3 linked regions of the Ovis aries genome follow. The protein of the gene in region 3 purifies or fractionates together with the protein of the main gene of each other region. This does not show direct contact. Links are inferred from orthologs where the notes say so. Each region holds a gene or a part of one and is shown on either strand. Other genes may lie near its edges. The genes, in order: RPA1, UBR5 and ZUP1.

Evidence for each region.
Region 1: the proteins of ZUP1 (region 3) and RPA1 purify together in Homo sapiens (affinity purification with western blotting; 4 studies listed by BioGRID, with this or other methods). This does not show direct contact. The link is inferred for Ovis aries from reciprocal best matches to the Homo sapiens genes ZUP1 and RPA1.
Region 2: the proteins of ZUP1 (region 3) and UBR5 purify together in Homo sapiens (affinity purification with mass spectrometry, with the first as the bait; 3 studies listed by BioGRID). This does not show direct contact. The link is inferred for Ovis aries from reciprocal best matches to the Homo sapiens genes ZUP1 and UBR5.

The regions. Positions count from the first base shown.
Region 1 is NC_056064.1:22,827,905-22,837,862, forward strand, and holds the end of RPA1 (replication protein A 70 kDa DNA-binding subunit), read left to right. Parts: intron 1-816; coding exon 817-993; intron 994-1,538; coding exon 1,539-1,646; intron 1,647-4,522; coding exon 4,523-4,609; intron 4,610-5,964; coding exon 5,965-6,069; downstream 6,070-9,958. UniProt on the Homo sapiens protein: As part of the heterotrimeric replication protein A complex (RPA/RP-A), binds and stabilizes single-stranded DNA intermediates that form during DNA replication or upon DNA stress.
Region 2 is NC_056062.1:74,929,502-74,940,179, forward strand, and holds the start of UBR5 (E3 ubiquitin-protein ligase UBR5), read left to right. Parts: upstream 1-4,323; 5' UTR 4,324-4,843; coding exon 4,844-4,905; intron 4,906-10,678. UniProt on the Homo sapiens protein: E3 ubiquitin-protein ligase involved in different protein quality control pathways in the cytoplasm and nucleus. Mainly acts as a ubiquitin chain elongator that extends pre-ubiquitinated substrates.
Region 3 is NC_056061.1:21,144,954-21,155,631, forward strand, and holds the start of ZUP1 (zinc finger-containing ubiquitin peptidase 1), read left to right. Parts: upstream 1-4,985; 5' UTR 4,986-5,388; intron 5,389-5,605; coding exon of another isoform or gene 5,606-5,609; exon of another isoform or gene 5,610-5,771; intron 5,772-7,213; exon of another isoform or gene 7,214-7,494; intron 7,495-9,094; 5' UTR 9,095-9,108; coding exon 9,109-9,667; intron 9,668-10,678. Other genes in the region: KPNA5 (importin subunit alpha-6), read right to left, coding at 1,091-1,224, 5,606-5,609. UniProt on the Homo sapiens protein: Deubiquitinase with endodeubiquitinase activity that specifically interacts with and cleaves 'Lys-63'-linked long polyubiquitin chains. Shows only weak activity against 'Lys-11' and 'Lys-48'-linked chains.

The sequences.
Region 1 (9,958 bases), on a different chromosome or scaffold from region 3:
AAACCAGCCACGCGTTCTCATCTCTAGACTGTCTGTGGATGGTCTTGCACCCCAGCAGCAGGACGAGTAGCTGCAACAGACTGTGACCTGATGGCTTGTAAAGCCTGAGATAGACGCTGTCTGGCTTTTTACAGAAAATGCTTGTTGACCAAAGACAAAGTTGAATCGAGATGCTCGAAATCACTGCTGTTGTTTTTAACACAGGAGGACTGGTTGAAGATAACTGTGCTAGAGTTCACTGTGTCACTGTGTATTTCCTGGTTCTGTTACCTTCGGAGGGGCAGAGGAACAGGAGCAACAAGATCAAGATCTCTTGAAGTCTTTTTCTTTCATGTAGTCTATTTCAGTTTTAATTAAATAGTTTAGTCTAATTTAGAATTAAGGACTTCCCTGGTGGCTCAGACAGTAAAGAATCCACCTGCAATGCGAGAGACCTGGGTTCGATCCTTGAGTTGGGAAGATCTCGAGAGCATGACAACTCACTCCAGTATTCTTGCCTAGAGAATCCCCATGGACAAAGGAGCCTGGTGGGCTAGTCCATGGGGTCACAAAGAGTCAGACACCACTGAGTAACTAAGCACAGCACAGTTTAGAATTAACTTCTTTCTTATTAAGGAGTAATATGCTTTAGAACTTGGTTTGTTACGCTTCTGGATTTTGTAGTCAGTTCAAGTAACCTCTGAAACTATAGAACGAATTATCCCTTATAATCACATTGTGAGAATATGCAAACGCTTACCCCTCATATGTCAGGGCAGGTCCAGTCCTGAACTTTGGTCTGTGCTCTTTGCCTCATGCCACTCTCTTCTCCTGAAGCCTGACTATTTTAGCTCTGTGGCAACCGTGGTGTATCTTCGCAAAGAGAACTGTATGTACCAGGCCTGCCCAACTCAGGATTGTAACAAGAAAGTGATCGACCAGCAGAACGGATTGTACCGCTGCGAGAAGTGTGACAGTGAATTCCCCAACTTCAAGTACCGCATGATCCTGTCAGTAAGTAGGATGGGTGCACGAGGACCGCTCTGGTGTTTCTTGTCCCTGTGAAGCTCCTGGTACTGTGGAGACTGGCTTGTCTCTCAGTTCAGGCTTTCAGATTGTCTGGGGTGCACAGCACTGACTGAGAGCAGTCTTAGGGAGCACCTCCTGGTGACTGAAGGGTGTACAGTTTAAAATGCAGAAGACATTGGAGACTCATTCAAAACCTTTAGTCCAAAGCCCCTTGAAGCTGGAGGGCCTCTGAGTCCACTGTGCCCGGATCCTGCATCTGAAGGTGATTTTTGTTGGGTTGTATCTCCCCTGAGAACTGAAATCACACGTCCACACCATATCACGTTCCTGCTGTGATCCACACTTAACATTTTGAACTTCTCTCCTGGATGCTTTTTACATTCTTTGGAAAGAACATAGCTATTTGGTGGAATCGGCTCTTTTCCCTAGAAACTCTTTGAAGGAATGGAGAAAGTCAATCTCCCAGTCTTCTTAGTGTGTCTTCCTTTTGTTACTTCTTTGGTGTAATGATGTGAAGTTGTGTTTTTTAGGTCAATATTGCCGATTTTCAAGAGAATCAGTGGGTCACATGTTTCCAGGAGTCTGCAGAGGCCATCCTTGGACAAAACACTGCGTATCTCGGGGAATTAAAAGAGAAGGTCGGCCATGTCCTGTATCATTTCTGTAGTAGTTCCCATGCTGTGACTTACCTGTTTTTTGCTCTGATAACTGTTGGTCTATTGCTGGTGGGTGTTGTATAGCGTCTCTCACTGCTGACTGTGAGAGCTCATCTAATTCTAATTGTGTCCACCTCAGATGTGCTAACAATGAGGTGATGAAGTCATGTGTATAAAATTCTTTAAAACCAGCCCTTTCTAAGTAGAAAGCACTTTTTCCTCCTGTTTCTAAGAGTCGGTGTGCCTGTAGTCACTTGAGATCTGGAAGTATCTTCTGAAGTGAGCTGAAGTCCAGATACCTTTATTTTTTGAGTCTGTAATAATAAACTTTAAGTCCACTGTGGTCTCCCCATTATGGTTTATCCTGGGATGTTGACTAGTTCCCTGTGCTTTACAGTAGGACCTTGTTATCCACCCATTCTGTATGTGATGGCTTGTCTCTCCTAGCCCCGAGCTCCCAGTCCATCCCTCTCCACCCACTCCCCCACCCCCCAGGATAACCGTGTCTTGAGTCTGTTTCTGAGTGTCTTGAGTTTGTTCCCTGTGTCTTGAGTCTGTTTCTGCCCCCTAGACAGGTTCGTTTGCGTCGTGTGTTAGATTCCACATGTAAATAGTGTTCTGTGGTATTTGTCTTTTTCTGACTTTGCTTAGTGTGATAATCTCTTGTATCCGTGTTGCTGCAGATGGTATTATTTCATTCTATTTTATGGCTGAGTAGTGTTCCCATGTGTATCCATACCACATCTTTATTCAATGTGCCTTTTTAAAGTAATAAACACTTTTCTGAAAAGTTGAGTCAAATCCTGGTTTAAATTCACGTATAAGGTATGTGCTTCTTTCAGATTGTCAGATATGTTCTTACAAAGTAACTTTCTTTCGTAAGGTCACTTTCTCCATTTAATTTTTATAAAAGTATTTTCACATAGTAGTTTTGTTTAATTCAAGGACTAGATTACTAGTTATCCTAAAGTTAAGAAAGATGTTTGCTCAGATAAAACATACAAAGACCAATAAAAGCTATAGTTTCTGGGCCACACAAATTAGTATCTGTCTATAGATTTTTCTCCCCCATTGTCCTCCAAATCGGTTAGGATACTTGTAAAAGCCAGTAGCAAAAAAGGATTTGTCATTTGTTTTGGGGTGTGTGTGTGTGTGTTTTTTCTTTTCCTGTCTTCTCTTCATTTAGCTCTGCCCTTTTGTCTCTTTGAAATTGTCCATGAGCTCTCTGAAAATAATCCCAACAAGCCCTTTTACAGAAATAACTGGAATTGACTTTAAAGTATGATGGTATCTTTTATCTGTTTTGCCTGGTCCTCTATTTTCATATCAGCTTTTAAGGCTCGAGGCAGCCTTTCAGGATTTTTTATGGGCTTATTACATTTGACTGGTTTTACTGCCAGTGAATGAGGACATATAGGAACTCTCCCCTCAGGAATCATAATATTCTTGGAGTATGCGCTCCACGCTTTGACTAATCTTGAAAGAATGATGGCAGCTGGTACAATTTTCTGAAGGTTTAACACATTGTTTTATTTACATACCCAAAAGCCTGAGGACTCTGTGTGTGTGTGTGTGTGTGTGTGTGTGTGTGTGTGTAGTAACCTTTATATAAAGAGTTCTATATATAACAAAGCTATTTTCATGTTCCAAGTGGCTTGCAAATAATACTTGACTGATATGAACTATTAATTTTATTAAAAGTTCTTGTACATTTATTTTATGCATATTTGTGTAAAATGCTTTCTCTAATCCCTCCGTTTACCAGACTTTTTTTTTTAAATTCAGAAGCTTAATCAAATAGTATTTGAGAGGCCAGTAAGAGAGAACTGTGAATTTTAAACTTCTTCCCTAACTTTTGCCCACTTCTCCTGTCTTCTTCACTTACTACATCTGTAAATCCAGAGGCTGAAATAATGTATATATGACAGCTTGAACTTTTTTCCTGAGTCCTCGTCCATTCTTAATTTGTTCTGAAGATTCTGAGCCTCAGATCTATTCCATCACAGGTTTTGAAAGTTTAGAAATGTGTTTAAGAGTGTTTAGTTTTTTTCTATTGTGATAAAATATCCGTAAAATTTACCATTGTGAGTGAGTGAGTGAAAGTCGCTTAGTCGTATCCGACTCTTTTGCGACCCCAGGGACTATACCAGTGAACCAGTAAAGTTGCTCAGTCGTGTCTGACTCTTTGCAATCCCATGGACTATAGCCTACCAGTCTCCTCCGTCCATGGAATTTTCCAGGCAAAAGTACTGGAGAGGGTTGCCATTTCCTTCTCCGCTGGATCTTCCCGACCCAGGGACTGAACCCAGGGAAGCCGCATGGACTATACAGCCCGTGGCATTCTCCAGGCCAGAATATGGAGTGGGCAGCCTTTCCCTTCTCCAGAGAATCTTCCCAACCCAGGGACTGAACCCAGGTCTCCTCCATTGCAGGTGGCTTTACCAGCTGAGCCACCAGGGAAGCCCACATGTATAAGTTCACCGGCATTAAAATACCTTCATATTGCTGTGCAGCTGCCACCATCATCCAGCTGTAGAACTTTTTCATCCTCCTCAGCTGAAACCCTGTACCCATCAAACACTAACTGTCTGTTGCCCCTGGCAGCCATCATTCCACTTTCTGTCTGTATGAAATTGAGTACTCTAGGTAGAGTATTTTAATTTTTAATAAAATTCTACCTAAACAGTTTTATGCGATGAAATGTCACCTATATATTAGTCATTCCTAAGAAATTTCAAGCCACTGGGAGGTAATCATTTTCTCAGAGATTTTCCTCCAAGTCTTTTTAAAAACCGTATAGATAATTTAAGGTGGTCTGGTAGTTTCCATGCTGACAGTTTTACGTTTTGTTTCTGCAGAACGAGCAAGCATTTGAGGAAGTTTTCCAGAATGCCAACTTTCGATCTTTTACGTTCAGGATCAGGGTCAAACTGGAGACCTACAATGTAAGTAGCGTCACCCGTGGTGCGTGAGGGTAGCAGCATAGAACTCTCGTCTGTCACCCACAACCCCACTACAGTGTTAGCTGTCAGTTCCTCGCTTACTGTGTTCCAGACCCAACTCGTAACACCCTGCATGTATTACTCACTGAGTCACCAACATTAGGGTGCTGTTACCATCTCTGTTTTCAGATGAGCAAACAGACCAAGAGAGAGGTTAGGGGTCATGTCCAGTAATAACAGCCAAGGAAAACATGCTGTGTGGCCTTTTCAGTTAAAACCTGGGGGATTTTGGTTTGTGTCCTGACAGACACAAACCCCATCTTCCCCATGGTTTGGGTTCTAAAGTCAGTATATGAGAGAAAGACCACATGTGGTTAACATTACCTTGGAAATTCCTTTAATTGCTCATAACGTCATACAATTATAAAATCATGAAAAAACAGCCTTTATTGAGTGCTGACTATCTGCCAGATACTGTTCCCCACCCTTTGCATACTTCGTCTCCATTCATCCTAGCAGTAACCCTGTGTGAAGGAACTGTTGTTGCCTGCATTTTGCTAGTGAAAAGCTGTAGTTACGGAGAGTTGAGTAACTTGCCTAAATTCATACGCTAGCAAGTGGCACAGCTGATAATTGCATGTAGGCAGTCCAGCCTCAGAGCTCTACACATGCTTAGAGATCTGACTGGGTTTTGTAGGTACAGAGCTGGAGTGTGCAGGCCCTGAGCTGGCCTCACCCCAGTCTGCCTCTGAAGGCACTGTCCAACCTGGTGAACAGGCGACAGGAGAATTCAGAAAACCTTGCTTGTTTCAGGATTTGCTTGCTCTGCTTTCTTGTCAGGCCTGAACCCTAATACCTGCTAACAGCTGTGCCTGGTTTTGTGAGCATTAAATGAGCCTTTCGATGTCAGCAGTGTGGTGTCAGGGTGGGGTGGGGGTGGTCGAGGGGGAGGGGTGGAAGGGTCACTGGTCCCTGTGTGGCGTGGGCAGGGGTGGTGAAGGGCAGCAAGGTCGCCTCTCACGGAGCTGAGGCAGGCCGAAGCAGGCTTCGCCCTCTGCTGCGAGCACGGCTGCTCTCCTACCGCCCGCTCACAGAGCCCGTGGCGTAGCTTTAGCAAGCCACTGTCTTCTGGGCTCCCGTTTCTGGCTCTGTTGGAGTCCAGGTTTCCGAGTGTCTGGGACCATGAGGAACCGGTGCAGGGCCTTTGCCCCGGTGCTCATCAGCACGGCTCCTTTCCTGGGCTCTCGGGACTCTGAACCACCAGCATGTCTTCGTGCTCTCTCCTGTTGGGGTCACTGAAACCAGGAGCATGGCCACAGGTGTTTCTTCCATCACAAATCGTTCTTCTCTTTTCAAAGGATGAGTCTCGGATTAAGGCCACGGTGGTGGATGTGAAGCCTGTGGACTACAAAGAATACGGCAGAAGGCTGGTCATGAACATCAGGAGGAACGCGGCGATGTGAGAGGATCCTGCCAAGGGGGCAGGAGCGTGTGGATAGAGGGCTGATTGAATCCCCCCCCCCCCCCCACCCCCAGCCTCCACGCGCACCACCATCCCCGCCCCGACTGACAGCGGTGCAGAGCACCCCTCTACCACAGACTAAGCCATCGCCTCTCGTCACACCTGGGAACCCACTGACAGCAAAGGGAAATACGCTCGCAGGGCTCTGGTGTAAACCGTGTCAGACCTCGGGGTCAGCTGCACAGACTGTAGTGCCACTCACCCCCTGTCCTTAGGCTTTTGTCAGTTTTACTAAGATCTCGTTATTTTCAACCAGAAATTATGTCACAGGAAATTGACCCTCAATCTGTAGACAGTGAACTAAATTATGTAGGCAGGGTTCCCGCTTCTCCAGTGGCGACACCTTCTCAGCTCGGGCCCCTTCCCAGGGGAGTGCTGAGAAGTGGTTTTGTGGAGGAACTTGAGTGTTTTAGGAAGCCTGTCTTCCTTGATTTCAAAGGCTCCCTTTCTAGAGGGGCCACACAGTTGTTAATGCCTGGAATGGCAATAGGGTAGAATTATTAATCAAAGTCATATCTTTTATATCTGAAGAATATCCTTCCTTCAGGGTTTAATAGACTGAGTCAGATGGGTCTGATATTAATCAAAATGGTCTCTTCTGAGGAAGGCTGATAAGCATTGACTTGCTGTCCCCTAGAGACATCCCAGCAACTACAAAGCATCGCTTTCGTCTCCCCTTCAATTAATGTTGCATTTCTGTTGGTACGCCTTTTCTACCTGTACGTATTTCTTGCATTTGTATGTTTTCTTTTCTTGATTAAAGCTGTATTAAATAGAAGGGATTCTGAAGGGAGAAGCCCTTTGTTGCCATTGCCTTGTTTAATAAACAGTTTATTCTCTGCTTATGAATCCCACTTTCTTTGAATGCAAAGGGTTCTTGTAACTGGAAAGCAATTAATTAGCCTTCATAATAAATGTTCACTTGGGGGAGATGTTAACTCATTACAAACTCAAAGATTAGTCCAAAGCATAGAGATCATTCTTCCTAATGTCTGCAACCTTGAAATGCATCTTTAAAAGAATGAAAACACCAAAAACAAAAAGCCATTGTGCCCCGGAATGCTGATGATCCGGCACTTTGGGATTTTATTGATGTTTACACAGCGGTCTTAACACCAACCAGGCTTTGAAATGTGAACAGACAGTGAGCTGGTAAGAAAACAGTAATTATGCTACTGGGCTTTTCAGTCGGCAAGAACATGCTTGCTCTGTGTGTTCCTAATCATATTAATTATCTATCCGGTCGCTGCAGCCCCTCATTTGGCGTTTGCAGCACACCTCTTTCCAAGCATCCAGGCAGCATTGCAGTCTTCCTGTGGTGCCGGGCCCTGGTTTTTAATCTGGGTGAGCGTGGCACATGGAGGCCCTTGCTAGGCTGGAGGAGTGAGCACGTCCCGCCTGTGTCATCCTTAGCCTTCCTCTGCCGGGAGGAACCAGTTGGCGTCAGGCAGGATGACTTCCATGGCTCAGAACCTAGGATGGCCTTCTCTCAGGCCCTCTAATTGTCTGGACACGGTCTAGTCTCAGAAGATAGCCACCGGGCTGCACTTGATTCTCCGACCAAGGCCTCGGCGATTTTTTACGGAAGCTCCTTTCTGTCTGACCTTGCTCGTAAAGCGCTGACTAGAAAATTACAGTCTTCAGTGCTATGGTGGATTGACAAATTGTGGGTTGGAAGTAGCAATCTAGCTTTCAGCCTGGTAACCAGTCTTTTATATCTACCGCTCCCAGCATCCCCACCTCTCCCCATCACGGCTCCCACCCTGCGAAGAGCACTGACCGGCAGCGTGACCCCAACGCCTCTCCCGGAACATGGTACCAGCCGCCATGCGTTCACGACCATGAGGTGACACCAGCACGTCTCTGCGGATGTGCTTAGAAGCCCACAGAGGGATGCTCTGAGATGGGGCGGCTCCCTCGAGGGGGCATGTAGAGCAGATTCCCCACTAAAAAGCAGATCACTGGCAGAGGAGCATCAGAAATTGGCTCCACTGTTAGGCTTTTAAGAGCCTCAGGTCCCTGAGGGTCACCTAAATAGATTCTGGCCCACAGTTCTTAGAATTCTCTTGGAGATAGTTTAACCTCGAAAGGCTGTTCATGTTCTATTTCTCATCTTTCACTTAGAGATCAATGTTTATTTTGTGTACACCATGACATCAGCGTTAGACAATTAGGGAAAAATCTAATCATTTCGTCTTTGTTTTAAATGGCTCTTGGATCCCTTCCAGTCTCATTGTGATGGAGGCAGGGGGGGAGAAAGGGTAATAATCTGATTTCTGTCCATATTTTCTGTGTTTTACGCTTTCCATTAAGGCCTTAGTAATCTCTGGTGTGCTCATTCTGACTTTTTGAACTTCAGGATCAAAAACTTCCCCTCCCCCACATCTTTTCCTGAGTGGCCCATCTTCGAAAAGTATAAATAATATCGATTATGGCGTTTAATACCCTAATGAAACCCATAGTTATTGACTACGTAATTAATATACTGTCTAAAAGTCAAGTTTGGTAGCCCAGTGTATAAAGGTTTGGATATTGACTTGTGTTTCTTTGGCAACATGCCTTCTCAGATTTTATTTATAGAAAATGAAACTGGTTGTTCAGTCTCTTCTTGTCACTTGTTAGAAACCCACTACTCCTCCTCTAGTAAATTGATTATTTCCTTATCTCAAAGAGGATATCCCCCCCACCCCCCAGGGCTCCCTCCCACCCTCTTTTATGTGGTTTGTTAGCTCTTGGTTTTATAATCCACTCTGCTGGTAGAGCTATGGCTTTCAGAAACACTTTTGGGAATAATATTTTTTTTTTTCTTTCCCTCTCAAAAAAAACTTTAGATGTTTAATTTTCATTGTTTTGAAAAAGAAGCCAACTGAGTATGTTTTATTATTAAGCTGATAAGTATTGTTAACGTCAATAAAAAAAAGAATGGGTACTATTTGGACCATTGATTATTTCTTAACTCAAGTAATCCATGTTCATTGTAGAAAAAATAACCTGCAGACAAGAAAAAACAAAATTGTCCTTAATCCCGCCTGTCAGCAATAATTGCTTATGTAGCTGACTACTTTTCTCTCTGCTTTTATGTGTGTAATTATAGTTTTAACTTAAAAATGGGATTATATTATGCATATTATTCTGTAACACTTTGCTCCTAGCACTAAAGAATGGACCTCTTTCCTGTTTCAATAAGAGATCTGCATTATTTTTTTGTAAATCTGCATAATTTTAATTGGCATTTGGCCATGTGTTTGCATGGGTAAGTTTATTGAGCCAATTCTACCGGATGTGCATACTTTCTAACTTCTAAAGTTTTATTTCTATTTAGACCTAATTGGCATATAACAGGAGAAGGCAATGGCACCCCACTCCAGTACTCTTGCCTGGAAAATCCCATGGACGGAGGAGCCTGGTAGGCTGAGTCCATGGGGTCACTAGGAGTCGAATATGACTGAGCGACTTCACTTTCACTTTTCACTTTCATGCATTGGAGAAGGAAATGGCAACCCACTCCAGTGTTCTTGCCTGGAGAATCCCAGGGACGGGGGAGCCTGGTGGGCTGCCGTCTATGAGGTCGCACAGAGTCGGATGCGACTGAAGCGACTTAGCGGCGGCATATAACATTGCATGAATTTTCTTTTTTTTTTTGACTGCATTGGGTCCTTGTTGTGGCGCACCGGCTTTTTCTGCTTGTGTTGGGGCATGTAGGATCTTAGTTCCCCAACCTGGGATTGAACTCACATCTCCTGCATTGAAAGGCAAACTCTGAACCACTAGACCACCACGGAAGTCCATTAGTTTTAGGTATACACACACTTTCTAATTGTATTTTTTTA
Region 2 (10,678 bases), on a different chromosome or scaffold from region 3:
TCACGGCAAAACTGAAAGGAAGGTATGAAGATTTCTCATATACTCCCTGCCCCCCTGCCATAGATAGTTTTGCCCACTATCAACATCTTCTACCAGAGTGACCCAATTGTTAAAACTGGAAAACCTACATCGATAAATCATTATCATCCAGAGTTCATGGTTTACATTAGGATTCACTCTAGGTTTTGAACATTTTATTGGCTTGCACAAGTTTATACTGATATGTATTCACTGTTATAGATCATACAAAGTATTTCACTGCTTTAAGTATCCTCTGCTTTGCCTGTTCTTCCCATCTCCACTAACCTCGGGCAGTCATGAATCTTTTAGCCATTGCCACAGCTTTGCCTTTTCCAGAACGTCATATAGTCGGGGTCATCAGTATATAACCTCAGATTGACTCCTGTCACTTAGTAGTAGCAGCGTTAGTCGCTCAGTTGTGTCTGACTCTGTGACCTGACAGACTGTAGCCTCCCAGGCTCCTCTGACCATGGGATTCTCCAGGCAAGAATACTGGAGTATGTTGCCATTCCCTTCTCCAGAGGATCTTCCTGACCCAGGGATCAAACCCGGGTCTCCTGCGTTGCAGGGAGATTCACTTAGTAACATGCATTTAAGGTTCCTTCATGTCTTTTTATGCTTTATAGCTCATTTCCTTTTTGTACTGAATAATCTTCCATTGTATGCATGTAACCACAGTTTATTTACACATTCACCTACTGAAGGACTTTGTTGTTGCTTCTAAGTTTTAACAATTGTGAATAAAGCTGGTGTGAGCATCTATGTGCAGGTTTTTGTGTGGACATAAACTTTCAACTCCTTTGGGTAAATATTGAGGAGCATGATTCCTGGATCACATGTTAAGAGTATGTTAGTTTTGTAAGAAACCATAAACTATCTTCTAAGATAGCTGTACCATTTTGCATTCCCACCAGGAATCAATGAAAGTCCTAATTGTTCTACATCCTTGCCAGCATTTGGTATAGTCGGTGTTTTGGAATTTTATGCCCCGTTGTTTATTCAGTCAACATTCATATACCTACATATTTTCCCTTTTTATTTTTCATTATTTTATGCCTGTCTGCGCTTATACCAGGAAATCAGTTTCCTTTTACCTGACTCATACCTTTTAGTATGGGTCAACTGCTTAAAATTTCTCACATTTCTTTTTCTTTTTTTCTCACTTTGCCCCCCTCTTCCCTGCCCCACCCCCAGTATCTTTATATTTCTTTCATTCCTTTTTTGTCTGTTTGTTTCATTCTTGATGCTATATTTTGGCCTTAGGAGTGTGCTTTGCCCACAAGTGGGAAAATCTTGAAGTGTAAGGGGATTCACATCCCAGGAACAATCCTCAACTACTGAGAGGTAGAATTAATGGATAAATACCTCTAGCTTCCTCTCCGCTCAGTGAGCTAATTCCAAGATATGTCCTAACAGTCTCTCTGATGACCCCCAGTGGGACTGAGTTCCAGTTGTCCACGGTGGGATTGAATTCTAGTTGTCTACAGTGGCAAAACGTTCATCAACCCACTTTTATTGACTTTTCTCCATTCGCTGTCTCATTTCTCCGTTTCCATATAGTGCTTCCTGCAGTCACTTCCTAAATACTTGTGGCCACATCCTTGACTCAATGTATGTCTTGGGGGAAACCAACTCTAAGACATGGCTAATTTCAGAGCTGCAGTCCTTTGGGCTCCATACAAAGTGAGAGGAGTTCATTAGTACTCACTCACTATTGCATTAGGGAACCTTGGACATCAGTTCCTGTTGTCTTAGCTCTGAGAATTTGTCAGAACTGCTCAACTTCTTGGCTTCTTATTAGGTCTTTCTGGAACTGGCATTCATCCCAGGGGGAAAAGTGGCTCTAAACACAGGACTCACTTCTTTGGGTCTTATTCATCCCTTGGATCCTAGTGTGGTAATTCATCATTATTTTGTTAACTCTCCTGTTCCTTTAAGCAGGTTTAAAGAAATATTGTTGGTTAACTTTTTAGTTGTCCTCAAATAAATTAGTTCAAATTGTTAGGAAAGAAGCTCACTCCAGCCTTCTTTTCTCAACTTGTATTGTACTTCGGCTTTTCAAAGAAGCTTCTGCTTGAACCTTGCTTATTTCCCTTCCTTATCTGTATTCCCTCCTTCCCCATCCATGTGATGCACAACTCTGTGTCTTTATTCTTGCTCTTCCGGGTTCAAAGTGTGACCCACCATAGTGTTAGGGAGATGAATGTTCTAACACAGCAGCCTGGACAATGCCAAGATAGTTGTCAGTCAGAGACCAAGTGGGTACTTTGAATGGGCTGCCGAAGAGTGATGAGACCAGCCTTCAACCAGGATAGAAAATCTCAGTTGGTAAATCAAGTTGAAAGCAGGATGGAAGCACAATGAAAAGATGAAGGAGGGCAGATATGGAAGAAAGAGAAATGAAGCAAAGTATAGCATGGACTTTGGAGTTTGTCCAGGGGCACAACTAAAATGACCAAGTTCAAACTGGATGTTCTGTTTTCCCAGAACATTCTTGAAAGCTTAAATGAAATGACTTTTCTTAATTCTCTTGGCTGGAACCACTTCCTCCTTTAACTTTCATAGCACTCTTATTGCATTTATCATATCAGATTTTCCCATTGACTTTGAATAATCTGTTCCTTCTAAATTATTAAGTAGATGACAGTTGTGGTATAGTGGAAAGAGCAATGGAATCAGTTTCAGCACTTATAAGGTATTTGGGCCTCAGTATCTTCATCTATATAATGGCGATAATATTATTTACTCCATAATGTGATTTGAGTAATGAAAGACATAAGTGTATAAAGTGGTATGTAGTCAAGTGGCACACAATGAGCAACTTGACAAAAAAACTTCTGCTTGCTGACATTACTAAATGTTATGAAGTGCTCTAGGTACTTGACATACATTATCTTATTTAGGCCTCACCAAAACCCTACATAGATCTATTACTATGGAATATTTCACAAATGAGGAAAAAAAGATGCTATGATAGGTTAAATGATATAATCAAGTCCACACAATTAATAATTATTAGAAACGGCACAAATTCAAGTCCGTCTGGCTCCAAAACTAACAGTGTCCATTGGTTTCCTCTGCTTCCCTGTGGCCCCCACGAATTTCTAATAGAGGCTTTGAAATCACTTTTTAGTCTAATCTGGGCCATTTTGGAGCTGGTGACCTACAAAAGTGTTCCATTATCTGTCTCAAGGGGTACCTACTCTATCCTGATTTATAAATAGTCATATATTTTGTTCAAAAGAACTTCTAAGCAAGTGCGTATGTGTAATGCAGTAACAGAAGAAAAGTGATATTTAAAATTAAGAACGTTTCACAGGACCCTTAATTTAACGGAACATACTGGAGAAAGAGGCTTCGTGTTTTCACTTTTTTTTTCTTGAAAGAAGTACTTGATTTTTTTGAAGGGGCCAGAGAAGCCTTTGAGAAAAAAATCTATTAACTGGTTCCCTAGAAAAAGGCAGATCTATTTAAGAATTAGCCCTTATGATCCCACTGATCATAAGCTGAAGAACGAAACATCTTCGATGAAACTGATATTTCATCTTTCATTTAAAAGAATTAAAAATTCATGAGTCATTTAAATCAGGAAATCGGTGGAAATTTCCACATTTTGTCTTTGTGTGGATACGTGATGGTGGCGGTTGCGTGGGGGTGGGGGGTGGGATTGGGGAAATCAGGGTGATAAAAAGAAGTTGCTGCAAAGTCAGCTCTATAATCCTACGATTGGACCTTCTGGAAAGGCCCTTACATAACTACCTTACTTCTCCAATAAAACGCTGTCCGTTTCTTGCCCCTTAACAGATTTCTACACTTCCACTTTAAATATAACTGCGGATGTGAAGGACGAGAAACAACAACAGAAAACCCCTAAGGGTCCGCAAAATAATTAGGGCTGCCCCAAGAGAAATCAGAGCGCGAGACTGGAGGAGCCCCTGTTCCCTCCCACCACCACCGCGCCGGGGACACACACTTAGCCTCTCTCCCGGACTCCCCGCCCCAGCCGGCTCGCCCCTCCGCCTCATCTGTCCCGAACACGTGCTCTCCGGAACACTCACTCGGGAGCGAGCCCACCCCCCCGGGGGGGGGCCGGGCTCGGGAGCCGAACGGCCCAATCGGCGCGCGCCTTACAGCGCCGTGGCTGAGCCGCCCAATCGGCAGGGCCTCGCCGCCCGTTTCCCGGAGCCCCGCCCCCTCGCGGCCGTGCCCCACGCCCGCCGGTCTCCTCCCTCCTCCTCCTCCTCCCGTTCGCCCCTCCCCCTCCGCTCGGGAGCGGAGCCTGCGAGACGGAGAAACTGGGGCAGAAGTGAAGATGGCGGCGGCGGTGCTGGTGGTGGCGGCGGCGGCTTCTTCTCGCCAGTGACGCGCCGAGCGGGCTCATTTCCCTCCCCACCTCCCTAGTCCGGACCCCGTCCGCCGCCGGGACCACACACCGGCCCCACAGCCCGCAGCCCGTCCCCCTCCCCTCCTCAGTCGGGCCCCTCTCTCCCGACGTCCGGCTGCCGGTGGCGGCGGCAGCGGCGGCGCGCCCCGGGTCCCGGCCGCCGGCCTCGCACTCCTGCGCCCTGTCGCTGAGGGAGCGGGGTGGCGTGTTGATCCGCCCTCCTGCCCGCCCCGCCGGACCGCCGCGCCTCGGACACACGCCCGGCAGGGAGGCGGCGGCGGCGGCGGCGGCGGCCCCTGCGCATTTGCTTCTCTCATTTGGGGACCGGGAGGCGGCGGCGGCTGTGGCTGTGGGTTTTGACGAGGGGAAGGGGTTCGGGGGTGGGGGGAGCCGAGCGGGAGGGGGCCGTCCTCGAGAGGACGACGAGAAGGAAGCACCATGACGTCCATCCATTTCGTGGTTCACCCGCTGCCGGGCACCGAGGACCAGCTCAATGACAGGTAATAGGGCCGGCGGGCGGGCCGGCCGGCGGGCGGCGGGGGGAGGGGCGCCTCCCCGCCCTCCCCTCCCCCACGGGGCCGCGCCGGACCGGCGGCCGGTGGGGAGGGCGGGGGTCCTCACTGCCCCCCGGCTAGGCCCCTTCCGGGGCAAACTTCTGGTCCCAAGGACCGGGGCCGCGGGGTCGGGGGGGTGTGGGGGGAAGCGAGCTGTGGACGGGGAAGAGCACTGCACCCTCTAACGCCCCCTGGTCCCCCCGCCTCCACGGAGGAGCCGCGTTCAACTCGGTGGGGGCGGCGGGTGGGTATCCAGCTCCCGGTGCGGGGAGCTTCATCACCGCCCGGGCCAGGCCCGAGGAATCCATATTAGTCAAAGTTGAATTGAGACAGACAATGCGGATGGGGGATGGTGGAGGCTGAAAAAAAAAAAAAAGAGGGAAGCGGAGGAGCCGGGCGAGGGGCCCCGGGGTAGGCTGGGTTCGCCCGGGCTCCCGGGAGCTGTGTCCGGTGGGGTGGTCGGACCGGCGGGGGCCTGGGGCTCCTGGGGGAAGGGGAGGCGGGGCGGGGTGGGGTCGGGGGACCTGGGTGGGAGAAGCTGATTCCCTGCAGATCGCGGGTGGGGTGGCGGGAGGGAGGAAGCGCCATGATTATTGTTATTATTATTAAATTTGAGCCCCTGCAGTGAGGTTTGCCGGTCCGGGGAGGGGATGAATTTAGGCGAGGGTGGGGGGCGGGGAGGGAAGTGGATTGGGTTCCCTTTGCTCTGTTTTCTCTGGAAACGGTGCTGGCAGCTCCTGTTTCCCAGTCCCTGTGGTGCGAGCTTTTTTGTTTCCTTTTTTTATTCTAATGATAGTGTTTTCCTGAGTTGTAATTTGACAGCTGAAAACCGTGCGTAGAGTCAAAGGAAAACTCTTACGTTTGCAGTTCGCAGTGCTGCTTTTCTTAACACGCTGTAAATTTCTGGGATGGGTTTTGCTATGGGCGGAGGAGGCATTATGATTTTTTTTTTTTGGTCTTTCATAAGGAGGCTGTTTTGACTCCGGATTCCTCCCCTTCCCTCCTCCACCGTTCCCTGCCAGTTTAGGATATTGAATTGCAAGGCCGCATGCTCTCAGGGAACTGAGATAAAGCAGGAAAAGTTCCTTCACTGTTGCAAAACAGAGATTCCGAAAAGGTTGAGGGAAACCTCCATTAGGCAAGGCTGAGAATCTAGGACTCAGATCGAATGATGGGCTAAATGTTTTACAGGGTCAGAAAGTGGGGCATTTGAAGTTTCTATACCAACACTTTCGCTGCTCTCTCTTCCTCATAAATATAGAAGGCCGTCAGGGCCCACGTTTAGAAGTTAGATATGATTTTTGTTAAGTGACCGGGTGACATAAATTGCATGAAGCCCTGTTTGTCATGCACTTCCCTGAGGGAGGAGGAGGCCTAACTTCTGCTGATATACCGGCCTCTGTTTCGGGGAATCTAACTGCCTCAGGTGGGGCGGACAGCCTTTCAATCCGGGAAGCTGGAGGCTTGGTTTCTGGCATTGGGTTCGGATTTGTCTAATCTTTGCTGTTGTAGCCATATTGTATTTCACATGTTTGTAGAACTTTTGGAATACTTTCTCAAAATACTAATCATTTGGAGTGGTCACATAGTTCTTTTAAGTACGAAAATAAGTTTTAAGTCATTTATTTTATAATGCAGTCTTACTCCGATTTTATTTCATTACATATCTTTTGTTAAGACTTTTACATAAGGTTTTTTTTTGGGGGGGGGGGTAAATTTTAGAACCAGGCTAGTAGTGAGGATAGCTGTACTGTCTGTCATTCATAGAATCCAGTTGGCCGTGCTTGTGGGGGAACTTGTTACATTGCACCAGAAGAGACATACACGGTGTATTTTTTATACTAGTCCTAACTTTATATACCAGGAATCCTAACTAATTTACTCAATTGATCATGCATGCCAAAACCTATTTTGCGGTTTTGTTAGGCACTTTGAATAATTTTTGAGCATTCTTTTTTCAGCTAGTCTAGAAATTTACATGTATCCTTTTTAAAGCTACCTTTTCTTTTTTCATTCTTGGTGTAAACAAATAATCAGCTTTGACTCCTGTACTCTCAGTATACAATATTGAGACTATTTGGATCATTTTCAGTTTTCATGAGAAATAAAGACAGGTGGTTTCGAAAATGAGACTGTAAAATATGTGCATCAAGAATGTAGTAGATATTAAAAAAAACAGCTGTAGATAAAATTTTAGGAACCTGTAGTTGTATCTCATAGCAGTAGAATGTCTGGTCTGTTTTATGAAAGCAGCGCTTGAAATAGTCATGCTTTCCAGTTTTGAAGTAGTTGACTTGTGGAGCTGTTCTGTGTCTCCCCTTCAGAAGAAGATCCTGTATGCATACCTTGTTGCAAAATACTAGATCAACCCTTTGCTGCATTGTTTAAGGGAAATCTTTCCCCACAGGAGACTCTTTCTCTGGAACCTTTTAACTTAACTAGAATGAGCCCAGAAAATTTTTGCCTTTAGATAAAAATCTAACAAAAAGATAATTGATAGTTTTGGTGAAAAAAAAAAAAATATATATATATATAAATACATAGACGTTAGTATTTACCCAAAAAGCAGTAAGATTGGACTGGCAGCATGGTATTGAAAATAAATTGCTTAGTCAAATAAAACGCCTCAAAACACCAATATTGTGCTGTACAAATAAAGTTTTCTATTTAAAATGGCTGCATCCTATTAAAAGTCATATATTTTGTTTAGTGTAGAAATGTGATGTCAGCATTTAAAATGTACTCAGTATTAAAAAAAAAATCTGATTTTTTTCCCTCTGTGTTTTTTCTTTTTTAGCAGGAGGAATAAAAGAAGCAGGCAAAACAAAACAAATGGTAAACAGAAGGCAGAATGATACTAACAGGGTGATGTGGAGGCAAAAAAGCTAAAGCTAAAAATTGTTGTTTAGTCTCTAAAGTCAAGTCTGACTCTTTGCCACTCCGTGGACTGTAGCTCACCAGTCTCTCTTATCTATGGATTTCCCAGGCAGGAATACTGGAGTGCGTTTCCTCTGTGTTTTTATGCTTGTTATTTTTGTGATGGGCTTCCCAGCAGTAAAGAATCCTGCCAGTGAAGGAGACATGAATTTGATCCCTGGATTGGGAAGATCCTCTGGAGAGGGAAATGGCAACCCACTCCAGTATTCTTGCCTGGGAAATCCCATGGACAGAGGAGCCTGATGGGCTACAGTCCATGGGGTTGCAAAAGAGTTGGACGTGATTAAGCACGCACTCATGCATTTCTGTGACAGTCTTGGTATATTGGGTTAACATCTTTAATTATTGGCCCTGGGAGACCAAATAATGCAGTAGTTGAATACAGGTGGGGATGGCTAGGCATTCCTAGAGCCTAGGATATTGGTTGTGGATTTCCAGAGTGATTACAAGGTCCCTGGTGCAGAGAGCTGGCCCCTCAGCAAATATTCTTTGTATGGAATTGAAACCGCTCAGTGCTCAGATACTTGTGTGACATTTTGATTTTCTTTCTAGCAAATTCCTTGAGTTAGTGCTATGTTCCTGCTTAAAACATCTCAAGAAATAATCAGTAGTAAAAACCATACCAAGAACATGGTACTGCATTTTGAGATTGAGAGGCGAGCTGGAAGTGCAACTCAACAAATCCTGGGAAGTGCCGAAGAAGTCAGTAGACCATTCTTTTCACAGATGCGCTGGAAAACCAGGCCTGAGTTTACCGACTTTATCCATGGTACTGACAGATGAGAGCCACATGATGGGTCTTCTAATTTTTGAAGTCCAGGTCTCTTCACTGTCCCACATGGCCTGTATTCTAGGAAATCTCTGCTTTCTGAGGTGTCCCAGCCTTTGTGCAGCCACCTGTCTTAGAGTTTTGATTTCTCCTCCCCAACGCCTCCCTCCTGCACTTCAAATTGATTTAGGCCTTTTGTCAGAGCGTGGAACCTCTTAATGCTTTCCTAGTACTAGGTCAGGAGAGGCCTTTTAAGGTGATATGTGTTCCTGAGACTAGTCCCTGTCTTGAATTACTCTTTGGGATGCAGGTTGGCTACATTGCAACGCAGTTCACGTTGTTGGTCTGGATGTGGAATTTTCCTGTGAGCTTTGCTCTTAGGCATTATAATGTGCTGTGTGACCAGAAACAATCTGGGTTGAGACTGTTACATTGAAAAGGTTTTTCTCCAAGGAGCTCCCCCTTTAGAAGCTATAAGGCTACAGAGTAAGGTAGTGTAGATAGGAGTTTAAAATTAAGAATTCCTAAATCTGGTTTGTCTCAGCCCTGCTAGTTATTAACTATGTTGTGGTAGGCAAGTCGTTTAAGCCCTTACAGTCTCATTCCCTGCCACTCCTCCCCACCCCTCCAGACTCAGTTTCTAAGTCAGGTATAGTAGTACCCTTGTTGGTGAAGAATAGTTGAGATAGCAGGTGGGAAAGCACAATATTATAGGTTCTGTGGAAAATATTATAAAGAGATAGTTACTTTTTACAGCTTTTACATTTTGTCTGGTTTCCAAATAGGAAAACAGGCACTAGAGGAATTGCACTAGAATATCCTTAGCATTGAGTGCAGAATCCAGACTGTTAGTCTTAGACCAGTGGTTCTCAATTGGGTGTAGTTTTTGCTCCCCGCACCCCCCCCCCCCCCCCCCCCCCCCCCCCCCCCCACCCCCCCACCCCCGGGGATGTTTGCCGTGTTTGGAGACATTTTTTGGTTGTCCCAGTTGGGGCATTGTTACTGGCCTCTGGTTGGGTAGACATCAGAGGTGGTGCTCACCACCCTGCAATGCACAGGACAGCCCCACAGTAAAGTATGAACCTATCCATGATGTCAGTTGTGGTGAGGTTCAGAAACTCTATCATAGATCATCTTGAATATATACAGATGTAAAACTAAAGGGAAATTTATGAAAAATTCAAGCAATATAAGTTAGTCTCAAGACATGACTTACTTAAATTGAAATTAGTTGAAAAGAAATAAAATTAACAAGTCAGTTCCATAGTAACAGTAATCACATTTCAAGTGCTCTGTACCCACATGTAGCTAGTAGCTCGGACAGTGCAGATACAGAACAGTGCCATGATCACTGCAAATTCTGTTGGGCAGGGTTGACACAGAAAGAGCTTTTTGCACAATACCTGGCATTTAGTAAGTGCATCTTATTTTATTAGGAACTGTTGGGTTTTAAAGACTCAGCCATATCCTCATCCCTTCAGTAGGATCCAGAAAAGAGGCCTGGGAGTATGTGGAGCTGAACAAAGATTGTGGTGGGTAGAGGTTATAATAGTTGAAAGCTGCTTAAAGTTTCATTGTGCTACACCAAAAAAACACAGTATTAGGGTGGAATAGAGCATCACGTCACCAAACCAGTGGGAAATCTGACTATTTGATTATTGAGATAGTTACCTAGAAACAATAATACTAGAGTGACTTTACTGAGAAAGTCCAGGCAAGCCTCAAAAATGATTAAGTTGTTTAAGGAAAGTAAGATTAAAGACAGGGTATGGAATAGCCAAACAAAAAATTGAAAATGAAAACAAACAAGGGAAGATTAGTTTTATAAATCAAAAAATCAGTGAGTAAATTGTAGGTCTAGGAGTAAACAGATACTTGGGAAGGCAATTACATAGTACACAGGAGTACAACTAGGAATCATGGGATGAACTTTAGAAAAGGTGAGGATTTTTCCTTAACAATTAACATTATTTAGGAAATAGTCTTTAAAGGAAAGTTTAGTCACTGAGGACT
Region 3 (10,678 bases):
TAAACAGAACACATATTTATATTTTATAGCACTTGGAAAAACACATATGCCTACACTGAATTATGAGATATCTAAGAAGGAAACCAGATCTGTTATATGAGTGAGATAATGTGATATATTAACAGAGCCAGTATATCGGACTAACAAGTAACAAGAACAACTCTCAGGAAAGATGACCCTATGCTTAATAACTGAGTGAACATAAAGAAAAAAAAAAAAGAGGAAGAAAGGGACATGGTCAAGTCACTGAGCATGATTTACAGGTATATTTCATAAGTCAAAACTGATAAAAAAAAAATCTGGTATCATAATCTTTTTGATAGCTAAATAAAATTCTGCTCTTCTCAGTCTCTACACAGTTCTTTTCCTATTCATTTATTCAACAGACTTTTTTTTCTTAAGTACCTACTGTAATATAGTAGAGACTATGTTAGATGCTATAAATAGAGGAGATAATCATATTTCTAAAACAGGCTTTTTTTTACTTTCTACATTGCTAGTCCCTTTTACATAGTAGTTCTAATTATGTATGTGAGGACCATACCCTTCTACTTATTTATGAATACTTCTAAATTTCAGTGTATCTTGGAATGAAACATGTGGAGATGCACTCTTCTAAATGAATTTTTCTATTCCTTATGTTCCATATATAAAGCTCAAACAGAGAAGGCTAAGAGGTCTGCCTGATGAGACTACAGGAGGAACAGTATGAGCAGCACAGGAAAATGATTATAATTAACTTAGGGGCAAGGATTATGAAAACCACAAAGTGACAAATGAATAGAGTTAATGTTTTTCTAGGGGGCAAATTTTACAGCGCTCAGTGGAAGTGATAGAAATAGGCTCAAGAGTAAATATGTCTGGGGGTAGAAATATTGGGGTAGAAATACTGACATAAAGGTGTATCAATGGAATAGAAAAGGCATTCTTGTCAGGGATTAAAAATAGCATAGGGTTCCGATTCATGAATTTGCTAATATTATTGGATTCTAATAAAAATACATTTATATTCAATTTCCTAGAAAAAATTTTTCATTTAAAATTATCCAAAAATTAGCAATAACAGCATTAAATATTTTATAACACCTACCTGTTCTTCTCTTTTTTGTTTTCGAAGCTGTATTCCTTCTTCTTCTCTTCGTCTACGCATCTCCTGGGGGTTTAGGGCTTTATTCTTATAACTTTTCATTCTATAGTTATCTTTCCCAGGACTAGCCATGGCATCTTAAGATTAGGAGAGGAAAATAGATATATATTACTTTCAAAATAACATGAGATGTTTACTCTGGGACAACTAAATTCAGGCTCGTGGATCAAATACACCAACAAAACTCATCCTGAAAATTATGTACAATGAATACATCCTCTCACTCCCACATCAAAATTGGAGGAAAACGATCAAATGTTTTAGGACTTTACTATCAAACAAATAATAGATTTTGGTCTAAATACAAAGTCATTATCATAATTTCACTGATTCGGAGAGGCACTCTCCTATCCCTGGTATTTTAACCTTTCTATAAGTGAGGTGCATCTTAAAATAACTGTTAGCCAGGAAACAATCATGAAACAGCTGGATAAAAAACTTCTAAATCACAGCTTCTGGAAAAATCAAGAAATAATCAGCAATGAATTGTCTTATTTTCAACAAAATATGGCATCAAGTTTCAGTAAGCACACCTGATGTATTTATTGGTGTCTGGCTTCTTTCATTTACTTAAGGAACTGCCTAAAGAACTAAAACCACATAGGTCAGGACTTGAGTTATGACTACAATACCAATTTTCAGTACTAGAGTATAATTATTTCATTTAAAATACTGAAATGTTTCTATACTTTAAGTAGTTTTATTATACATATTTTAAAAAATTAACACATAAACATTTTATAAATATACAAAACATAAACATAAAATATATTTTAAAAGGGGCAGGAGATAAAACCAGAAAGGTAGGTAAGGCTGAAATATATAGTTCCTGCAATCTAGCTGAGAAATCTGGTCTTGATCCTAAGGAGAAGAATAAAGAAATTAAAGAGAAGGTTGTTTCAAACATTGATGATAAAAGACCTAAAGTAAATTAGTAGCTGCACTGAAAAACACAGAAGACAGACTGATGCCAGAAACATTTCAGATATTGATTCAATAAGAATTAGAGACCAAGAGAACATAAGGAATATGTGCTAAGAAAGAAAAAGGAGTTGAGGATGATTTCATGGTTTTCAGCATGAACTCTTTCAGAATAAGGACAAAATAACCCAAGACAGGGAATACAGATGGAGGATTGGCGTGGTGGTTTTGTGTTTTTGCCTCCTCGTTTTTGAGTTGAAAACAATGAATTCAATTATTTTATTTTTCATTTACGTACAGCAAAAATCACTCAGTACACAATTCTACGAACTTGACACAATGCTCAGGCATATAACCAACACAATTAAGATATAGAACAGCTTCATAATTCCCCCCAGAACTTCCTCATGTTGCTCCTATTTAGTCCTTCTCCTACTCCTAAAACCTGGTAACCACGATTTCCATAGCTCTGCCTTTACCCAAATTTCACATAAATGAAATTATAACAGTATATAGTCTTAATCGTCTTCCTTCATTTAACATAGTATATCTGTGAGTCATCATATTGTCGGCATGTATCAAAATTCATTCTTTATTGTTTAGTAATATTCTATTGTACAGATATACCATAGTTTATTGATTCACTAGCTTAAGGACATTTAGGTGGTTTCTAGTTTAGGGCAGTTACAAATAAAACTGTTATAAACACTCAATGTACAGGTTGTGTAAATATAAGTTTTCATTTCTCTCAGGTAAATGTGTAGGAGTAGAATCTATGGATAATAGGACAAGCATATGCTCCACATTTTACAACTGCCATTCTGAAAAGTAAGTATACCACTCTGCATTTTCATTAGCTATTACTGTTGCTCTGTATCCTGGCTACCCTTATTAGAATTTTGTTATTGTTTACTGCAGCCACTCTAATAATGTATAGTGACTTTAATCTTAAATGTGTTAAATTTATAGTACATAGAGCACAAACAGAAGGTTTTGATTTATAGATGGTTAAAAATTATGAGTCAAACTCAGGAAAAGAGTATTGAATGATCATTCAAGAGCATTAGAGCTATAAAAGAAAGATGCCCAAAGGAGAAATCTTAAGAATGTTCACATTTCCATGGAAAGCAAAGGAAACCAAACATAAATAGAAGGATCAGAAGAAAATAAGAGCCATGAAAAAGGAGGGAATTTAAAAGATAAAGAAATATTTCAGTTGCAGTGACACTAAAAAAAATAGTCACTCAATTTATTCATTCACTGATTTATCCCACAAATATTTAAGTGTCTGCAATAAGTCAAGTGCCATAGGAAGGTAGACTTGATAATCAGGTCACTGGTAAAGACAGAGAAATTTCTTTAGTGGTGGAACTAAAGGTAGAATGGAAAGGGCTGAGGACTTTACAATGCTTTAAAAAGTACTTTGCACCTCTTAACACATGCATATAGTTGTGCAACTAAAATACATGTATAATCAACCAATATCTCCTTATAAAAGTCAATAAATTAATTTTAGCAATACTGTGTGCACCTACAAATACTTATGTCTAGAAACAGTTCAATCTAACTTTCTTAATAACGTTTAGCATTATTCTCTATTTTATATATAAAATCTCTGTTGCACTAACAAAAGCTTAGGCTTGGAAGGGAAAAACAAAGTTAATTACCAAGCAAACTGGGCTTCATATTAGTTGTTGAATTACACTTAACAGTATAATATCTTAGCAAAATGAAATGTTCGCAGCAACAGACCTCTTTACAATATTTACCACCTATACATTAGGCATCTTCTAAGCCACTGGCCTCTAAACTTTTGATCACATATCCTATGCACACAAAATACATTTGGGAATGCACCCTCAATATGCTTGTTTATTTATATATGCATATTACTAACTTAATAAACTATCCAATTATAAATTCACAGAAATTTTTTTAAAAATAGTTTTATAAGATAAGCATAAGTTCTAATATCTTCTCCCCACATCTGATTGAATTACCTTGTGCCTCCCATCACACACAGCAGACAGTACTCCTAAGATCATCAATCTAGGCAATGACAAATTAAAATCTTTCAGTATAAATGCTAACCAAATAAAATCTCACGCCAGCAACTCATATATTATTTGTTTTCCTTCTATAGTACTAACTTCTTGTCTCTTATTTAACATCTGCATCCTCACTGCAGTTGCTTTAAAGGGGATATAAAGTTCAAGGAAAATGATTTTTTAAAGCTGCATCACCCAAGGGGATTTTCTTTCTCTGGAATATAGCTTAAAAGACTATACTTCAAAGCCTGCTGTCTCATACAAGTTATTTCAAATATAAGAAATGCCAATCAAACACTATAATGTTGCCAGAGGAATTTTTTTTTTTCAGTCATAAGCTTATTTTTGACTCCACTCTTTGAAAAAACTGTGCTGAGGTTAGGCAAACAACTGGAATCTGAACTTTTTCTAAAACATATTAACGGAATTTCTTGTCTCCATAAAGCCTGCGTTTCTATGGGCTTGGGTGTCTGTTAGTAAAATGACAAGATCAGTACAAAGGGGAAAGTGCAGCAATCAGAACCCCTACAAGCAAACAAGCAGTACCTGAAGATCTAAAGGACAGAGCTATTCCTGTTTACCATGAGAGAAAGTCACTTTTTTTAAATAAAATATAAATCATGGAATGCTGTAACTAAGAGACATCAGATCAGGTTTTTTTAAAAAGTGTTCAAAAAAAAACGAAGAGTAAATGCCAGTGTCATATTCTTTTGAAGTAGCACTATCCCTTCTCACAGATTTCAATTCCTCTCAACTCTTGTGCATTAGTGAGGAGACACTATTAAACTGTCACCTTGGAAGTGATCTAGCAGAAGCATCTAACCCGCGCTGGCCCGCGTCAGCACTGAGCCCTTCCAGGCATCTGCGCCAGGTGGACGGCAGCGCTGGACGTAGAGGGTGCGACACGTAGGCCCCTGGGGCTGAACCTGCCTTATTCTGGACACAAAAGAACTTCTAACAAGCGGAACAGATTGCTGAGCCCCTGAAGTGGCAGGCAACGTCCGATAAGACCATGTACCGAAAGAAAAAAAAAATACTAATAACTGCCGAGAGACAGCGGAGCAGAGCGGCGAGAGGATCCTGTGCCTAAAGCTCCTGAGCATCATCAGCCTGGCTCTCGGGGAGGCTCTGAGCTCCCTGCGCCTTCGCGTCCTCAAGGGAAAGGTCTGGCCGCCACGCCCCCGCCACCGCTGTCTCCCTCTGGAAAAGCTGAGAGGACCCGGCCCGGCCCGGAACCCTTTGTTGCTGCTGCTGCTGCTACTGCTACTGCTGGTAAGTCGCTTCAGTCGTGTCCGACTCTGTGCGACCCCAGAGACGGCAGCTCACCAGGCTCCCCGTCCCTGGGATTCTCCAGGCAAGAACACTGGAGTGGGTTGCCATTTCCTTCTCCAATTGTAGGGGAAGATAAAAACAGTGGCCTCAGGACCTAGTAGCTTCCGAAAGGACCAAACCCGAGGCTCACCCCACCTGGCGTGTCACTCCCACTTACCCATTAATGTGGCACTAGCCGGCGCCCTGACTTCCCAGTCTCCGGCTGTGGCGGCTGCTGCGGTAACTGTGGGGTCAGCCCTCCGCCCCTAGCTATGAGTACAGAGACCAGGCTCACAACGCAAGATGGCGGCCTCCTGCGCCCCTTACTCTAGACCCCCAAGTCTGGGCTCCCAGAAGCCCTTGCACGCGGCAGCGGTGGCGGCGGCGGCGGCGGCGGCCGCGAAGCTGCTGCTCCGACAGGCAGAGGGGCGGAGAGACGCGGACGCCCCAGCCCCACCCACTCATGGAGGATCCGGCGACTTCTAGACTCTGGGATTTTAACTCTGCGCGTTGCTGTGGCAGAAGTGTGTCCTACTGCCCTGACAGCAGTAGTGCTCCCTGCCAGTTCTGTCATTCACCCGTTCGTTCTTTTGTTCATCCATCCGCCCAAGCTTCCATCCATTCATTTATTCATTTTACAACGTAGTATTGACGGAGGGACTAATCTGTGCCAGACTTGATTTGATGTTGGAGGTACAATAGTGTACACAACGGATAAAAATCCTGACCTCGTGGAGCTTCATTTTCTTCAACCTCATTCACTTCTTCCTATCTTCTCTGCTCATTTGTTTCAACCTTTCAGTTGAAAATTTTTGGATGCCGTGACATCTGTGGATTTTTTTTTTGCAAAATAGTAGCCACTGATGTATGAAATAACTCCAAGTAAAGTACTCTTGATTTTTTATAACACACATACAGCCTTGTTCAACACATGGTTCAACCTTGGGGTTGAACAAGCAGTATTGAAAACAGGTTGTTTTCTCTATGTAGTTCTAGGCACAGAATATGCAAGATAAATAACACATGATTCCTTCCCCAAAGAAGCTTCTGTTTTCCATCTCTTGTTCTTTTTGTTCTCTTTTCTGAGAAAATTTTGGGTTATCTTACAGCTCTCTATTAATATGATTTTTTAAATTCTGATATTGTATTTTTTAAGTACCAAGAGCTGTTTCATATTTTTAATTCAGGGATCAAAATAGCGTTATCTTGTAACCGTGAAGCAAGAACAGGTCTTTGCCACCCTCCATAGTTAGAGGACTTTGGCACGCTGTAACATTATAAGCCCTTGCTTGATAATGTGAGAGTGCTACTCAGTCAGGCCCTGCTGCTGCTGCTAAGTCGCTTCAGTCGTCTCCGACTCTGTGCGACCCCAGAGACGGCAGCCTACCAGGCTCCCCCGTCCCTGGGATTCTCCAGGCAAGAATACTGGAGCGGGTTGCCATTTCCTTCTCCAATGCAGGAAAGTGAAAAGTGAAAGTGAAGTCGCTCAGTCGTGTCCGACTCCTAGCGACTCCACGGGCTGCAGCCTACCAGGCTTCTCCATCCATGGGATTTGCCACGCAAGAGTGCTGGAGTGTGTTGCCATTGACAGTGGATATTGTGGATTCGTGTAATGCCTTAGGACACAACCTGAGAATTCATTCATAGAGACCTCTGAGTCTAGTGTCTCGTCTTAAATTAGGCGTTGGAACCTTGACGGGGAAACGACTACGACTCCCACAATCCACCACGACCCAGATCAGCGTGCAGAGGTTCATGCTGGGATTCCTTCTCTTCCGGGGAAGAGAGGAAAAGCTTTTTTGAATGTGCGTCCGGAGGCTGAGGCTTTTCAGAGTCGCTGGTTCTCTTCTCGGTTAACCGTCAGTGTCTGGGTAAAAATAAGGGCCTACCTCAGTTTTTCAGGCCGGGAAAGGGAATCGACAGCGCGCAGCACTCCTTTGCCCGCGAGCCAGACGGCATCTGCTGCGGGATCCGAAGAAGAAGGGCAGTGTGACAGCGGCCGGCTCTTCAGGCCGGTAGGAACTGACCGTCCCAGCCCTGGATCCCTAGGCCGAATGCTTTGACCCAGTTAGTATCGGGACTGGTTTCATATCCTGGCCTTGGGACGTTGCCATGGACCTTTGGGCAGGCTCCGGCACCTTCCGCCGACCTCCACACATGTGTCATCCACTTGCTCTAAGTGTTGGGGAGCTCAAGCACACCATTCTGGGTCCCGGCCCGGGAAAAGAAGAAAATTCTCTGAGTGTCACGTTCTTTGCACTGATGGTTTGGGAGAATTTACATCAAAATCAGAGACTGTTTTCACTTGTCTGAGGAAAAGGGGTGGGGGGCAGGGAGACGAAGTTGGGCGATCTTATTAAACTAAATTTATTTAAATAGTGGGGATAGTTTCCTTATTTTCACTTTCTCTTTGTTTTAAAACAGTTTCTAGCTGAAAGATAGTCTAGGTAGTAGAAAGGTTGTGACTGTGCTTGCTTTTGAAAAACTTCTTAGCAAAATTTGTGTCAGAGCCAGAAATTTGTAAAGCCCAGAAGTGACTGCTGATTCAGTGTAACTCATTTTGTAGGCCGAACCTCAGAAAGGGGAGGTGTGTCATCTAAAATTATGAAACCTGAGATTATAACGCAGTTCTCTTGACTCTGGAATCAGTGCTCTTTTTAACTGTGTTCACTGTGCTTTTATGTTTTGGGTGGAGAGTGCACCTCTGGAGCCTGACTGGGTTAGCATTTGGGCTAATCATTTTCTGGTGCTGGTGACTTTGAGCCAGTTTCCTTCATTTAGAATGATCGTGTGTGCCCAGTCAATTCAGTCCTTACAACCGCATGGACTATAGCCTGACAGGCTCCTCTGTACATGGGATTTTCATGGCAAGAATACTGGAGTGGGTTGCTATGCCCTCCTCTAGGGGATCTTCCCGACCCAGGGATCCAACTTGCGTCTCCTGCATTGCAGGTAGATTCTTTACCGCTGAGCCATCAGTGAAGCCCAGAATGATAGTAATGGTGCTTTAATTAGTTTGACATATAAAACTCTTCAACTGTTAGCTGCTATTATGGAATTTGTTTATTTGCGCAACTGATTGTTAACTTTAAAGTTTTTGTATTTAGATATATTGGTTGATAAGGTTTCTTCTCTTTGTTTTCTCTTACTTGGCTTATTTTACCTGGGTGAGTTTATATACATTATTTTTTCTTTACCTCAGTCCAGACACACTGAAATTTTTGAAAAATTTTTTATTTCAATTTGCAGTATCATTGCCTTTGTTTAGGGATTCCCTGGTGGCTCAGAGAGTAAAGAATCTGACCCAGGGCTGGGTCAGGAAGATCCCTTGAAGAAGGAAATAAGAACTCACTCCAGTATTCTTGCCTGGAAAACCCCATGGATGGAAGAGCCTGATGGACTACAGTCCATAAAAGTCAGACACGACTGAGCAACTTCACTTTCGCTTTGCCTTTGTTTTATCCAAACCATTAACTTGAAATACAGTAGTTGAGATTTATAAATAAATTAGTATATTTGAGGAACAGTAAGGACATTGAAAATTTCTTCATCTAAATAATCTAGTCATAAATAACATATATAGTTGTTCCAAATCCTTTTATAAAATGTATTTTCTTTTTCTTCAGCTCTTACTTTCTAACATAAATAACATTGTATTCTTTTCTAGTTACCTGCTCTACCATGCTATCTTGTGATATTTGTGGTGAAACAGTATCCTCAGAACCAGACATGAAGGCTCACCTAACTGTTCACATGGAAAATGAAGTTATATGTCCATTTTGCAAGTTGTCAGGTGTAAATTATGATGAAATGTGTTTTCATATTGAAACTGCTCATTTTGAGCAAAATGAACTAGAAAGAAACTTTGAGAGGATTAATACAATACAGTATGGAACTTCCGATAACAGGAAGGACAGCAGCCTACAGTGTAGAGCAGACATTAATTCAAGTGTTCATTCAGCTTGTGCATCTAATCAGCCGAAGATTTCAGCTCAAAGCCTGCCTGAGGATGGTACTTTAAAACATAAAGACTTTTATTCAGAGAACTTAACTGAATCTAGAAAATTCCTGAAAAGTACGGAAAGACAGTCTGACCGAACCAAAATTAAAGAATCAATTTATGAAACGATGTACAGTCCTCCTGAATGTCCATTCTGTGAAAAAATAGAAGATAATAGTCAAGATATGGAAACTCATGTGAAAACAAAGCATGCTGATCTTTTAGACACTCCATTAGAAGGTAAAGTATTCATTTTATATAATAAGTAGCATTAGTCTCAATTTAATATGTAGTATCCCAAAAGTTGGTTTGTAAATAAGATTACTACAAATGTGTTTTTAATTTCAGTTTATAGCATTGCTCATTTGCCAATTATAATATGAAACTACTATAACGGAAAAGAGTTTTGATACAAACAAATGTTTCATCTACTTCGAAAGTAGCTGTAGAAACTTGAGGAGAAGCAGACTCACAGTCTAGTTTCCAGAGGAAGAAAGTGAAAATGAAAGTGTTAGTTGCTCAGTCCTGTCTGACTCTGTGTGATCTCATGGACTATAGCCTACAAGGTTCTTCTGTCCATGAAATTCTCCAGGCAAGAATACTGGAGTGGGTTACATTTCCTTCTCCAGGGGATCTTTCCAACCGAGGGATGGAACCTGGGTCTCTTGCATTGCAGGCAGATTCTTTACCAACTAAGCCACAGGGAAGACCAGTTTCCAGAGGGTATTCTTTTATTTACTACCCAGGCCAGTGGCATCTGGATTCTCTGGGATTGTGATTTTCTGTTACTGAGTTCTACTTTGATTCTTTTTTGATCAGAGAGCAAACTATGATTTAAGTTCTTTTGAATTTGTTCAAGTTATTTAAACTTGTTTTATGGCCTAAGATATGGGATATGGTCTGTTTTAGCACATGTTCACATGTTCCATAGACATTTGAAGAAAAAAAATTCTGATGTTGTTGGATCAAATGTTCTATATTTGTCAGAGTGTGTTGTTTGATTGTGTTCAGATCTTCCATGTCCTTACTGATTTCCTGTCCAGCAGTTCTACCAGTTTTTGGAAGGAGCTTAAAGTTCCCTATTATGATCTATATATATCTATATATCCCAGTATATTTGTCTGTTTTTCCTTTAGGCTCTATCAGACTTGTTTCATATATTGTGAGGCTCTGTTGTTGGTGCATACACATTTAGAATCATGTGTTTCTTTGATACTGTTGAGTTTTAAGAATAATTTATATATTGTGGAT